Drosophila melanogaster: one gene and its partner. The protein of the gene in region 2 interacts with the protein of the main gene of each other region in a pairwise test. Each region holds a gene or a part of one and is shown on either strand. Other genes may lie near its edges.

The links.
Region 1: the proteins of Max (region 2) and Mnt interact in a two-hybrid assay, tested with the Drosophila melanogaster proteins (2 studies listed by BioGRID).

What each region holds. Positions count from the first base shown.
Region 1 is NC_004354.4:3,669,826-3,676,396, forward strand, and holds the start of Mnt (Mnt), read left to right. Parts: upstream 1-1,975; 5' UTR 1,976-2,214; intron 2,215-6,571. Other genes in the region: Parg (Poly(ADP-ribose) glycohydrolase), read right to left, coding at 1-762, 830-1,542.
Region 2 is NT_037436.4:19,260,591-19,268,606, forward strand, and holds Max (Max), read right to left. Parts: upstream 3,595-8,016; 5' UTR 3,436-3,594; coding exon 3,391-3,435; exon of another isoform or gene 3,316-3,390; coding exon 3,250-3,315; exon of another isoform or gene 3,176-3,249; intron 2,935-3,175; coding exon 2,827-2,934; intron 2,618-2,826; coding exon 2,494-2,617; intron 2,429-2,493; coding exon 2,286-2,428; 3' UTR 1,642-2,285; downstream 1-1,641. Other genes in the region: Bet1 (blocked early in transport 1), read left to right, coding at 1,160-1,513; CG42374 (uncharacterized protein), read left to right, coding at 3,907-4,032, 4,091-4,354; Mettl5 (methyltransferase like 5), read left to right, coding at 4,366-4,853, 6,004-6,157; CG45081 (uncharacterized protein), read left to right, coding at 5,489-5,767; Aldh7A1 (aldehyde dehydrogenase 7 family member A1), read right to left, coding at 6,247-7,869. UniProt on the Drosophila melanogaster protein: Transcription regulator. Forms a sequence-specific DNA-binding protein complex with MYC or MAD which recognizes the core sequence 5'-CAC[GA]TG-3'. The MYC-MAX complex is a transcriptional activator, whereas the MAD-MAX complex is a repressor.

The DNA of each region.
Region 1 (6,571 bases), on a different chromosome or scaffold from region 2:
TCCCTAAACTCCACATTTCCAAAGGTATAGTAGGCCAAAGGTCTGCCCAACTGGGCGCAGACCATAAGTTGCAGCAGGGCTTTCAGATAGGAGTCACCGCCGAATGCGCCGCAACCCCAGTTACCAGTTGCCACACCCGGTGGCGGCGTCACCATCCAGTGAACAAATCCAATGTACGCCTTGTTCAGCTCCCTTTCCATGAGATCCTCGCGATATTGATGATGTGACTGGGCAAAATGTAGGGCATCGATTGCCACAATGGCCGTTTGTCGACGACCTGAGCTATCTCTTGGCGTTGAATCCTCAAAGTTGCCGGACCACTCGAAGCTTCCGGCATATCCCGTATAGTTACTATACCTTTCGGCGCCCAACATCACCAGGGCCTCGAATGGTCGCAGACACTCCGTAAAGAGTTTACCCACCAATAGCTCCGGACAGATAACAAAGCGTATCTCCTCCTGAACGCAGCCATGTCCCAAGACACCGCCACCCAAATATTTGTTGGCAAAGTCTACTTGCAGCAGTCCAATGCCCTCATCCTCGATTGTTCCCTCGGCATCCACGTGCAATGGCACATCACCCAACGGCGCCGCACTTTGGCTCCAGTCGATCAGATGTTCCGGCAATCCGCTCCGACGAACAAAGGTTACCACACCGGTGGGCACATTGCTGGCATCCCGCTCTGTGGGACACACGCGACGAAAATAGTGCATAATGCATTTAAGCTTCTCCAGAACTGCCGGTCCCGTCGATTGGTAAAGCCTTTTGATGGAATCGAATATATTTAACATACTTCGACTGAAGATATACGAATCTGGTGGACGCTCACCTGTTAAAGTTGATGTCTGGAAAAGTGCTGTACTCGGACTTCCTCTTGAGGGTGTTTCTCCGGGGAAAGGTGCACAGGAAGGCATTGGCCAACAGGCAGGAGATCTGCTGTTGGCTCAGGCTCAATGAGGCGTTCTTGTGGTGCTTGAGCAGCGGAACTGGCGATTGAATCAAGTCCGGTAGCCGCAATGCCAATCGGATAATGCGCGGCAATAGATCCTCGAAGAAAACCCGTGTTTCGCTCTCGTCCAGTTCCTCGTCGAGAAGTTGATGAAGGGCACGAAAGTGCCACTGATCCCTATAGGTGGTATTATATGATATTATCGCCGCCTGCAGTTCCTCACACGTCTTTATGGGCTGCAGAAGGGCTCGTTCGATCATTTCCCAGCGAAAATCGATGGTGGTGCTGCCATCCGGATTCTCCCTCGGATATTTCGACTCGGGCGCACAGGGCAGACGCACATGCTCGGAGTCCCACTTTCCCGGTGATTTGTAGGGGCGTGGCGGTGTTTCACGAATTGGCAGCTGGTACATAACCCGGTGGAGATTGCCGGCAGTCACTGGTGGCAAATTCTCCAATTCGAAAGGCTGCCGATTACGATGTATAGCCTCCATGGAAACTCCACGCCACGAATCATCTAGGGAGTTCGCCAGATTTTCCGGCTCCTCCTCCGTTTCTATTTCGGAAATCCCGCCATCCGGCGACTTCGACATCCTGGCGCAGTTTAAGCACAAAGCCTTGCCGAGTCGATTGGTCAGCACGGATGCACTTGCTCTGCGGCGATTTGCCGTAGATTGGTAAACCTTTTGGAATATCGGAAAAATCAAGTGTGACCTGAATTCTTGCATACCGGTGTTTTGGGGATGAGCGATAGCTGTGATGAATATCGCACTTTATAAATACCACACACTTCGATTGAAGCGTAGTGAATTGAAGCGTTTATATATCGAAATATATTCAAATATATGTTGGTATTCGTTTGAGAATGAATCAATAACAAATTCAAAATTGCATTGCCTTGAATTCGGCGGGCGAAAGTGTGACCATTACATGTGGTATTTTACCTCTCATTGTCGCTAGTATTTAAATACCAGCACGAGAAATACCAACACTGTGTCCGTTGCAATGCGAATTGCAAATATAACCGCCGAAGGAACAACAACAAACAAAAAGAAAAAAAAAACAAATCTTCCAGCAATTTGTCAACTATTTTCTCTAATTTTTTTTTAAAGTGTAAAACTATCATAACGAGCGCCAAGTTTTACGTTAAGTGAAAGGATTTTTTCCTGTCCTTCGTGCGGTAAAAATAATAGTGCATATTACCAAGGAAAATCAAGTTAAAGGCGTCTGCGAAACTTTTATAAATGTATTTAATACTCAAAAAGGTAAGAAGCGGCGGAAAGTAATTGCTGTTTTATGTTTTTATAATCACGTTTGGCAAGAAAATGTTATTTCGTTGACGTCAGTGGTCAAATCAAATTTTTTCAGTTTTTAACCCTTAATGTGGCACTGTCACTCGCACCTATGTATATATTTATGTGATTGTGGTATTTTGCTCAAGCTTACGTGTTGAAAAGAGGAAGAGAAACCGCTGCATACACGTGCAAAGACTCTGAGAATGGACACAAGAGAGCGAGAGAGGGAGAGAGAGAGAGCGCAGTTGTTTGTTTTGAAAGCGTCGCAAAAACAATACAAAAAAGGTCATACATAATTTGCACACACACTTGCATCTGAGGAAAACGCAAAAGCAAATTCACAGCTAGCTAAAAACCAAAATAAATATAATTTATGAAATGTACTTTTGCTAAAGTTCAACACACCTTTATCTCTCCGCGAAATTTGTTTGCACCATCTCTTTCTCTCCTTTTTGCGTAAACAAACGAAAAAGCTTTGCAAGGAGAAGCAAAAAAAAAAAACACAAAAACAAAAATCGAATTATCAGTAGAATTCTACAAAGAAGAGGCGTTTCTCTTCATCGCTCTTCGTACCTGAGCGTAGCCTTCAAATTTGCTTAGATTTCGCCTTGACCATAACCTAGAAATACTCGAAAAAAGTACTGTCAACTCTCAATAAGTTAAACGATCGATTTTCACATAAAGAGATAGAGAGAGAAAGAGACCAGATATTAAGTGAAATTTATTTTACTAAATAAATTTTCAGAAAAAGGTGTAAATCCCGAGCATTTAGATTTCGTTGATGAACTTTAACGCAATGGGAGTCTGCACTGTACATGTAGAGCTTTCTCTTTTCTCATTTGCGTCAGCGAAAATACTAGGAATAATCGGGGGTGGCGTTTCGGGGGTTGGCAAAAAAAACAAGCAACAACAAAAATGCATAGAGCCGAATAATCGCTTGGAAAAAGCGAGCGACGAAAACGCGATGTTAGTAAACTTTTCAAGGTCACCTCAAAAGCATGAACTTATACTAATCAACAGCTGAAAGAAGCAGAAGACTGCACTTCCATGAGTCAGTTTCAGAAATTAAACAAAACGAGGGAACCAAACCAATTTGAAAATTCAATTTACATATTTGTGGAAATTTCTGTTCTTTATTAATTAATATACAGATTTTAAAGAAATAATTCATTTTTGTATCCGAATTCTGATGCACTTCACACATAATTAAAGCAATGTTACCATAAATTATATGGTAGGCAGATTGTATTGTATGAAGAATAAAGTATGGAATAAGCATAAAATATAATAATATATGTATGTATAGAATAACATCAATGAGTTCTTTTTACGAGTGATCACTGTACACATATTTATGTGCGAAAGTCGAATTATATCATGTGATCCCGAATTGTTTGAAATGTTTGGGCTTAAAAGATCGAATAAAAACATCTGCAAATGGATCTAGAAGTTATTTATTTTGTTAAACGCCTTAATCTATAAGTATATTTATTCGCATTGACTTGCTTTTGATTGGGGGAGGCTTCAGTTGTATGCAATAAAAAACAAAACTGAAATGATAAATACAATTGCGTTTGCTTGTTTGTGTTTCGACTTTTTTCTTGGGTTTTGTCAACGCGACTTGGCTCACGTTGGCAAAACAAAGTGCAAAATGATGAACGAGAGGAGGAAGATAGAGTGGAGAAAACCTTGCAGTTACAGGCTGCACTGGCTATGTGCAACTATATATGAATGTATATATGTATCTATCCTCCACTGCATCCAAGCACTCCTAGCTAACTTATAAAGCCAGAAATAATTGTCAAAAAATCCTACAACTGTTTTTAAGTTTTTATTGCAATTGTGCAATGCAGTGCTGTTCACACAAGTGCAAGCATGCAGAGAGAGAGAGAGAAACGTAAATAGTTGACTAGAAAGAGAGGGCTGGCCACACGTGTTGCTAAGGAGGGTCGCTCAACTTTATCGCCCAGCCACCGGGATCCCTTCGCGTACCCAGCAAACCCACAATTTATTTCTTTTTTTTTTGCCAGTAAATATTCGCACACTCTCAAACAAACAAAATAAGAACAACAACAGAGTGCAAAAAAATAAAATTCGCATGCGCTGATGACCTTGAGAGTTCTGCGAGTATAAGACGGAAAAAGCGAAACTGAGACGCCTGCAATGCGAAATGGGGAAGAAAAAATATACAACAAATATCACAAAGAAGAGCAAATTTTCTTTTCAACAAAAAAACAAATAGAGTTTGCGAATTCGCTTGTTAATGGGAAGAATTCTTAAACGAATAAGACGCCTTTGATTTTTGGTATCTGAAATTATGTATTAATAGCAAGTATGTATACATATTATGTTCAACATTAAATGCAGATTATCTATTTATGTTTTGCATCATCAGCACTCATAAATAATTTATCTATTTACCGCTATTATTAATGCAAAAGGCCCCTATATGTATATGCACATATACATACATATGTAAGTATGTAGATATTCATATTTTTTAACTTTTGGCAATGTTCACGCCCCCATTTAAACAAAAAGTGAAATCGTTTTTACGTAGTATTTTGCTGGTTTTCAAAATAAGAAACCAAACAAGCAAACGAAACAAAAATTCACAACAAATAAAAATAGTGCATATGTATGTATGTATGTACAAAAATATGCAAAAAGCAGCACAACAACAATATAATAATAAATAAAAACAAAAGGTGATGGCCAGTCAAGAAGGCCTTAACCCCAATAAATGTGTAAAAACAATGAAAAAGCAACAAGCAATAGCAACAAAATACATAACATTGCTAATTTATTGCGGTTTGTGGGTGGTGAAAGTACAAAAATAAAAAAGGGCTTAAGCTACCTAACAGATGGAGTCTTTCACATTAATCCAAATATGAAAATTACAGACAAGAACATTCAATTTAATCATACAAACTAACTTGCAATTAAAGATAACACAACGGAATGCCGACAGATGGCGCCACCTGATGATATCAGATAGAAAATGCACAACCCATACTGAATGGGATATTAATCTATGTATGTATGTATGTAGCTAATTACATAACCTTAAGATACAAATGCAAGATTATTTACAAAATAATTAAATAAATACATTAAGGAACCAAAACGAGTTCAGTTACGATCATTATATAACGAACTGGAAAACCGAAAAACCTTGAGACACAAAAAAAACGACAAAAATAAATAAACCACAAACAACTAAAGCAAAAAGTCGAATTTTTTCAAGCTAACAATTGCAATTATTTCAACATTAAAAGTTATTTGGCGGCTGCAAAAATTAATTCGATTTTAATTTGGCGCGCATAGGTCTGTGTTGCTATCACCCTTACGATAACTGTCTTTGTTCATATGTATGTATATGTATGTATGTATAGAGAAGATATAGATGTAGGTTTGTCGATCCGATCAGTAAGTAAATAAGTTTTGAACTAGGTTTGGGTAGTTGATTTAATTAGTCACCTTAAACAGTTCAAACAGTATGAAAGCCTAGTATATACATTTATATTACATTAATGGTTTCCGTCTTAATCCCTTCAGTTAACATTGCAATTTATTGCTTTATTACGCCGCTGACGTCAGCGACGCCGGCAGCGCTGCAAGCAGAGGCGTTGTAACAGGGTCTCATTTTATGGGGCGGTTTTGTACAGGGTGGAGCGGGGGGGGGGGGGTGGTATTAGTCACTAGTGACAGCCACAGACTAAAGGGCACTTGTTGTTTGTTCGTAGAGAGAAAAGTGGTATTCGTGGGGCTAAGATTGGAGAGCCGAATGGCCCGCTGACTATAACAAAAGTTAGGTAAAGCGAAATGCTGATAAGCTGAATAGTGAGTAATGATCACACAATTTCAAATAACGAAGTGCAGGTGTCTGTATAAATTAGTAAAAAAAAAAAAAACTTATTGTGTGTATTTGAATGGAAGACAAGCGTTGAACTAAATGATTTTCAATTCAGTTTAATAGCTTATGGAAGAAAGTACAATTTATAAAAAAAAAAAATCACAAAGCGGTTTGCTGCAATTGTGTAATCAATATTTTTTATCAGGTTTCCTTATGCTGTTGCATGACTAAAATGCAACTACGATGTATCACTAATATAATTTGAAAATAATTGAATTTTCTAGAATTGAAAATAAAGCTGTAAAAAATGGAAACTCATAACTGAAGAATTGCTTTCATGCTTTCTTCAAAGGAAATTCTAAGTATACAATTTTCCCACACGCTTGTTAAATATTAATCAACAAAAACCAACAGCAAACTGCCGAAAATTATAAATAATTATTTTTGTCACATTTTCAATGTCAACGTTGT
Region 2 (8,016 bases):
AGCGAGCGGGAGCAACAAAATCGAGAGCGGCATGCCAAATTATGGCCAAAATTACCTAAAGTTAAGTTACTAACACTGGAGCAGTGTGGCCGTAGGCGAGAGCACGGAAATTACCCGACTCTAACAGTAATAGGCACACGGATTAACCCACTGTTTCTAACATTTAAAAGTAGTACTTAGGATCCACATATAACCATATATGTTTTTACTATCTACTAAAAACATGCTTTATTTATATTTGATTAAATTTGTTTGCATATTAAAACGAACTGCTAATAACAGTATTTTATGCATTGTTATTAAATAATTCTTTGACATATTTTACATATGTCCCATATTTTTATGAATATATTTTATTTATTTTATTTGAAATAATTACAAATAATGTTTGAATTGCCTAATTACTATTTAATTAATATTAAACTAATATTGTTTTTGCATTATATATAATAAACTAATAATTCTTACACATAATATGTGTAATAATAACTGTACGTACCATATTTTAATGAACACCTAAATATAATACAAATTTTTTTTTAGCGGCGATGGTGAAACTGTGGAATTTTGAACATGGGGACGATTTTTATTTATTTATTTTTTAGTTATTTGGAGGTGAATTTTTGCCGACCGCCGACTGTCTCGTTGTCTGTCCCGATTTCCCTAATCAAATTTTTATGAAATCTTAAAACAATATATATATATATATATAGTAAGTTTTGGAAACTTATAGAAAGAACTTACGATATTAAAAGCGTATTGGCAAGCAATGGGTTAATTGAAAATCGTAATCTCTGCCACACGCATTGCTACGGAATAATTTTGCTACTCCGCTTTGGTCACACTGCTCGGCGACTAAAAATTGAATTGCATGAGAATTTAAAAAGTTTCGTTTAATAAGTAGAGGCATTAGTCAACCGATTCTGGAAATCACAACACGAGGTCAAGGGTCAATGCACAGTCAACCACAAAGGTTGAGCCAAGAAGCGTATATCCCAACAGCTGTTCTGCCGCTGGGTGAGATTACATGTTTACGTTTACGTGTCACTTCGAAAACTGAGATTTGTGAGCATTGTATTAATTTATAATTAATTAATTTCGTTAAATTCACCCGATCCGCAGCAATCCGGATGCCAAACTGGCACACTCGGGGAGCAGTATGCGCCGCAACAACTACCCGTACCAGCCCCTAAACCAGCACCCTTCAGGGCCCCATCCTGCGAGCCACGACGCCTTGGAGGCGGAAAACGAGCAGGCGGCGGAGGAGTTGAAGCAGAAGATCGGGGCCCTGAAGTCCCTCACCATCGATATAGGCAATGAGGTGCGCTACCAGGACAAGCTGCTGCGCGGCATCGACGACGACATGGACCGGACGAGTGGATTTCTGGGCAACGCGATGACGCGGGTGGTGCGACTGGCCAAACAGGGCGGTGGTGCTCGCCAAATGTGCTACATGTTCCTCTTCATCCTCGTCGTGTTCTTAATCCTCTGGATAACCCTAAAGTTTAAGTAGTTGTTGGTAATTTTATAAAATATATACCCACATATTTGTATGGTTTAGTGTAGTCGAAGGTTGTATTTGGTTCGGAATGCGGTTCACTTTTGGCTTAAAACCATAAAGTTAAATATATTTCTTAAGTTCAAACCAATATTAGAAAGACAGATACGTACGTTAAAGTTTTTTCAGCTCGTTCTTTATAGTTCTCGAGTAATAAGCAAAAGGAGATTCCAGATATAAATAAGGGAAGGTTCCAGTATCAAGTGATCAAATTACTTGCAAAAATTGCTGATTTTATTTAGCCCTAATCGCATAAAATGTCAATCCTTTTATCATTTATAAACTTCTTCAAAAGCAGCACTCATGTTACTCAATTGGTCCGTTATATTTTCCAATTTCCATAATAGAATTCATCAACAAGAAGCCCCTGTTTTTTTCTAAAAATATGTACTTACTAGTTTACTTTATTCTTTGCGCACAGAGTGACAATTTGTTGAAAGTAGAAAAGACGCACGCATACAAATTAAGGTCGATTGGGTGGGTTACATTTTGGGCTTACAGCTAATGATGATTATGATTATCGGACTTGTTACTGTTCTCATTTCCACATAATTTTAATTTTCACTTTAATTCGAATTTGGAACCGTTTCCTTCACAACTTTTCGAGGGCTATTGCTTTCGTATAACACAACTCAAAGTTGAACTAAATCCACGTAAGAATTCAGAATGTCGGTGAAAACGGAAGCCGGAACACGCCTGTAAGCAGCACTTTGGATTGGATCAGCGGCTATGCGTGGAAGGTCTTCATCTTTTTATTGCGTCTACTGAAGTCCTGGTCGAGGTCTTCGTCGTCGGCCTCCTCGCTGCCCACTTCCTCGTCGCTGAGAAATTCGCTGAACTGATCCCCATTTGAACTCTCCAGTGCTTGTACTGGAAAGTATATAAAGTATCTTAGCAGGAAGTTCATTAATAACCTGTAGTAGTTAGTTGCTCACTCTGCTTAGCTATTATGTTGTTTTGCCTCTTGATCTCTTCGATGTCTTTCTGGTTTTCACTGATCTTCCGCCTCATCGTCTGTATGCATTCGGTGGTCTTTTTCAGGATTTGAGCTCGACTCGCCTGTAACAAAAGATATGTATTATTAACTTATTACTACTTCTTATTAGCTTCATCACACAGGGTGTGGATTTTTTTAATATATTTTATGCGATTTGCTTAATTTGACAAGCAATAATGTAGTTTATTGTAAAACGAACTGGTATGGACTTATGGGATTTTCTTGGCAGAAAATGAGCCCGGCTGTGTCACCTGTTGCTCTTCTGGATTACCTTTTCGCCCTTGAGTGTGGGCACCGCCTCACGCAGGTTGGTGAAGCTCTCCTTGATGTGATCGCGCCGCCTTCGCTCCAAAGCGTTGTGGTGCGCCCGCTTTTCGGCCTTGAAACAAACATTAAAATTAGCATATAGGAAATTCCATCGTAAATACAGCAGAGTATGGAAATAATAACAAAAATGGAACAAAATGGTCTCAAAGCAATATGAACAGAAAGATAAGTTAGTAAATAGTAATATATAATATATTCAGTCCCTCTAAGATTATTTTCGATTACGAATCCTATTGCTGTGAACTCTGCTGTATCGTAATCACGATTCTGTAACAGCAACAACAACACGTGTGCGTTCTGTTTATCAACAAAAGGCAATGTGCGCAGTCGCTTTTTCCCACTCAGTTTATGCATGATGGATAGTCACCTGGGTGAAATTGGCGGTGTTTGTGTGTCGCGAGGATCCCAAGCCAGTGTCCGAGTCCCCGTCCTCCTAAAAAGTCGTTAATTTGGCATTAAAATCAATATTAAACACACGTATCAGTATTTTCCTCTACGCCTTGCTTACGTCACTTTCGATGTCTATGTCGCGGTCGTCGTCGCTCATACTCATGTTGCTTCACTTGTTTTGCACGGATTGCGCGCAAATTAATAGATATTTCCTAAGATTATTCCACTAAGTTGGTAAGTTTTTTGTTTTTTGTGATTATTCCAAATAAACATGTAATTTTGTTGTTGTCTGCTCACGTTGTAAGACTTGCAGAGTGACCAAATAGAGGAATGCTAATAATACTTCAAACTTAAGTGGCACCAAAAGGTCACCAATATTATTAATATTTGATTTGTATTAAATACAAATTATATATATATTAAGCACAAATTCAATATTCGCTTAACACTCTTGTTTGTTGCAGATTTTTTGTTTATTCGCACATTTGGTTCAGTTCGAATACCGCTACTATTTCCGCCACACTACAGTACTCGCCAGTGTGACCACACTGCTCGCAAAATGCCAAAGGCAGCGGCAGGAGCAGCAGTCTACAAGAAGTTTTTGATATAGTTCAGACTTTTACTAGTTTATTTGATGGCTTTTCCCACCACAAGTGCCCAGCAAGCCGAGACGAACCGCAAGATACTCGAAGAGATCCAGACGAAGAAGCAGTTGCTCGCGGGCGGGATCATAAACCTTGGTCTGAGTCCGCCGAACCAGGTGAGTTCGTTGGGAACATGCCGATCGGAAAATGTGTTTACCTGGTCTTCTATCGTAGATGCCCGCACCCCAGTTGCTGGGACAGCCGACGACAGTGAATCCAGACTTCCAGGCGGGCGTGGGCATTGCCACCAATGCCACATCCACCGCCCGCTCTGCATTTAATCCAACGAGCTCTACGACTTTGGGCTTCTTTATACCTCAGGATTCGTATTTTGGAAATAGCTTTATACCCGTGCTGCCTCGTCTGGAGCCGCTGCCGTCGCCTGCGACCACGCCCACTACTCCGAACGCTCCGCCCAGCCACAGTATCAGCAAATAGCCGGATCCACAATGGCCCGGTTGAAGCTGAGGAAACTGGAGGAGTACCTGCAGGGCGTTGACGGTTTCGAGCAGCCCAAGATCCTGTTGGAACAGTACCCCACTCCGCCGCACATAGCCGCGTGCATGGCTCATCACATGCAGTCGCAGCACGAGGACATCGAGGGAAAGCTGGTGGGAGATTTGGGCTGCGGCTGCGGAATGCTCAGCATTGCTTCCACTCTGCTGGGCGCCCAGCTCACGGTGGGCTTCGAACTGGACGGCGATGCCGTGGACACCTTTAGGGGCAATGTGGTGGAGATGGAGCTACCCAATGTTGACTGCGTGCGGGCGGATGTGCTGCAGCTGATCGGCAGCAAGTGGGAGAAGTCCTTTGACACGGTGCTGATGAATCCCCCATTCGGCACGAAACACAATGCCGGCATGGACATGCGGTTTCTGGAGGTGGCCCTACGGTTGGCCAACAGAGCAGTTTACTCCCTACACAAGACGTCAACACGGTAAGTCTGTATAAAATTGATTATAATCGATATTCGTAGAGGAAAACTTAAGTTTTCTTGCAAAGAATGTAACAGGTAGAGGGAAGCGATTTCCGCTTTACAAAGTATATTTTTAATTAGGATTACCAGCCGTGTATAACCAACGTTTTGAAAAAATCTTTTGATATAACTTATCTTATTTCCTTTACAATTTCTATCCATATCTAAACAAAATTTGGAATTCCTCTCTAGCAATCCCTCTAGATGAGCGGCGTATCTGATATTCGAAATCTTGGTTATACCATTCTCTCTTGTTTAATAGTGTAGATCTCTTGGTTAAACAGATACTCAAGTAGTATGCTTACTGGTCTATATATAGGTATATATTTTAAAATATATTGATACTCAATATTCGGCATATGAATGTACATATGCAGATTTATACTTTAAGAATATCTGCTGGTATAAACAGATGCGCAATCTTTTGTTATTGGCACAGTAAACAAGAGATACAATTGTACCCGCTTTTCGGTAAATGTGCTTCCTTACCGCTGTTTCTGCTTTTGTTGTTGTTTTGTTAAGAGCGCTGCTCACAACTATAAAACGCCGCAGAAACACCAACAAGTTACAGATAGCAACTAGAAGTCAGCAGCAAGATGATCCTCTCACGTAGCCTTCTAATCATCACTGTGGTGCTGGCGATTCTTCTGGCCCCCATGCCCACTGATGCGCAAATCCTGGGCAGCGGCCAATGCCGTCTCACCCCCATTCGAGTGTCCGCTGGCGGGACAGTGTGCGAGAGACTGTGCTTCCGAAGAGACTACCGCGGTCCGCCCAGCCTTTGCCGCCGCATTCCCAGAGATGCAGTGGTTCCTGTCTGCGGGGGTGGTTGCTGCCGCAGCGGTCCCAACTGCCTGCAGCTGCTTTACACATAAAGTATGTGGATAAGATGCAGCACGTTCCATCAATAGTTTAGATTTTAGTGAGAAATTATGGAAATTAAATATTTTAAAATATATATGCTACTCATATTAAAACGATGAGTTCTTTAATTAAAAGGGTATCTTATTATTCGACCCCTTCCTGTTTTTTATGGAAGAATAGCCAAGCCTAAACAACTGTGGAATAGTACATCAAAGCCAATTTAAATATCGATTTTAATTGTTCGCAGGTCGTACATTCAGAAAAAGGCACTGGAATGGGGCGCCCGCGGCTCAGTGGTCGCCGAACTCCGGTACAACATCGACGCCAGCTACAAGTTTCACAAGCAGAAGTCGAAGGATATTGAGGTGGACTTCTGGCGCTTTGAAATCGGCACGGAATAGGAAGAATTATATCAGTTGCATTTAGTTTTGGACATTATATGTAATAGTATTGTAAATTGTAGCACATTAAAATTGATCGTATGTGTTTTCTACTCCACATTGAAGACAACACCCTGGGCGCAGGCCAATTCTCCGGAGTGATTGACTGTAATGGTGGCCCGCTTGCAATACTGCTTCCAGGCATCGGATCCGGACTCGCGACCTCCTCCAGTGGCTTTTTCGCCTCCGAAAGCTCCACCAATCTCGGCGCCGTTGGTGGTGGTGTTGATGTTAACTATACCGCAATCGGAACCCTTGGCTCCAATCCACTTGAACGCCTGCCCGATGTTCTCCGTGAAAATGGCAGAGGATAAGCCCTGTTCCACCTCATTGTTCCATTCGATGGCCTGGTCCACGTTTTTGGCTTTGAGGATGTACACAATTGGTGCAAAGGTTTCGCGATGGACAACGCTGGCATCGTGCGGCAATCCAGTGATCACTGTGGGCTCTACGTAAAAACCATCCCGCTGGATGACATTACCTCCGAAGGCCACCGTTCCTCCTAAGGATTTCGCTTCCGCGATGGCCGCCTTGTAGTTCTCCACGTTTTGTTGCGTGTGCACGGGACCCACCAGAGTTTGAGCTTCGAGCTGGTGTCCAATCTTGGAAATTAGCTGCTTATATTTACCAACCAGCTCCTTTACGAACTGATCGTGCAGCTTTTCGTGGACAATAATCCTCCTGGTGGTGGTGCATCTTTGACCACTGGTGCCAATGCAGCCGAAAAGTGCGGCGTCCAGGGCCATCTTCACGTTGGCAGATTCATCGATGATTAGGGCATTATTGCCGCCTAGCTCGAGGATCACCTTGCCGAATCTGCGCTGCACTTCAACACCCACATCCCGACCAGTTTGGCAGCTGCCGGTGAAGGAAACGAGGTTAACTCTCTTATCAGCCACCAAGGTCTGACCAACATCGGTTCCTCCTTGGCAGAGGGTCACCACCGGCGGCAGATTGTTCCTACGCAGCACTTCAGCCACAATTTTTGTGGTCGCCACCGAGACCAAGGGAGTGCTGGGAGCTCCTTTCCACAGCACACTGTTGCCGGTGGTTAGGGCGATGGCAGCATTCCAGCCGAACACAGCATTGGGAAAATTGTAGGCCGAAATAACGCCCACCACTCCCAGCGGACGCCAGGCCTCCAGAATCGAATGATCCGCACGCTCCGAGTTGATCAGCTGGCCGGAGTAAATCCTTGAGAGGCCAACCGCATAGTCGCAGATATCTATGAACTCCTGAACCTCGCCCTGTCCCTCGCTGTAGATTTTGCCCACCTCCAGGGAGACGAGCTTTCCCAGTGGTTCCTTGTACTTTCTCAGCTCATCGCCGATTTGGCGCACTATTTCGCCGCGAACGGGAGCTGGAACCTGTCGCCACTGCTTGTAGGCTTCCACCGCCAGCCCGATGGTATGCTCGAGCTCCTGGACATTTCCCTGACGCACTTTGGCAATCGGTTGACCAGTTCCGGGATCGTAGCTGGTAACGGATGGCCCACGACCCTGCCACTGACCCGAATAAACACCTGGATTGTCGCGCTCCAGTCCCAATTCTTTCAGGAAACTGTACTCCGGCTGGTCAATGAGATATGACGAGGACGATGAGTAGCTGGCGGTTTGGGTAACGAGGCGGCGCGGCAGCGCCAGCTTCGAAATATTTCTCAATTGTGCCAACATGCTGCATAATTAAAAACATATATTTACATATATTATAAATTTGTTATCAGTGATCCACATTTTCAGTATCTTAATATCAAAGATTATAGTTTATCTACAGACCAAATTATTTAAATAAAGATTTATTAAATAGTTCATAGAAGCTTG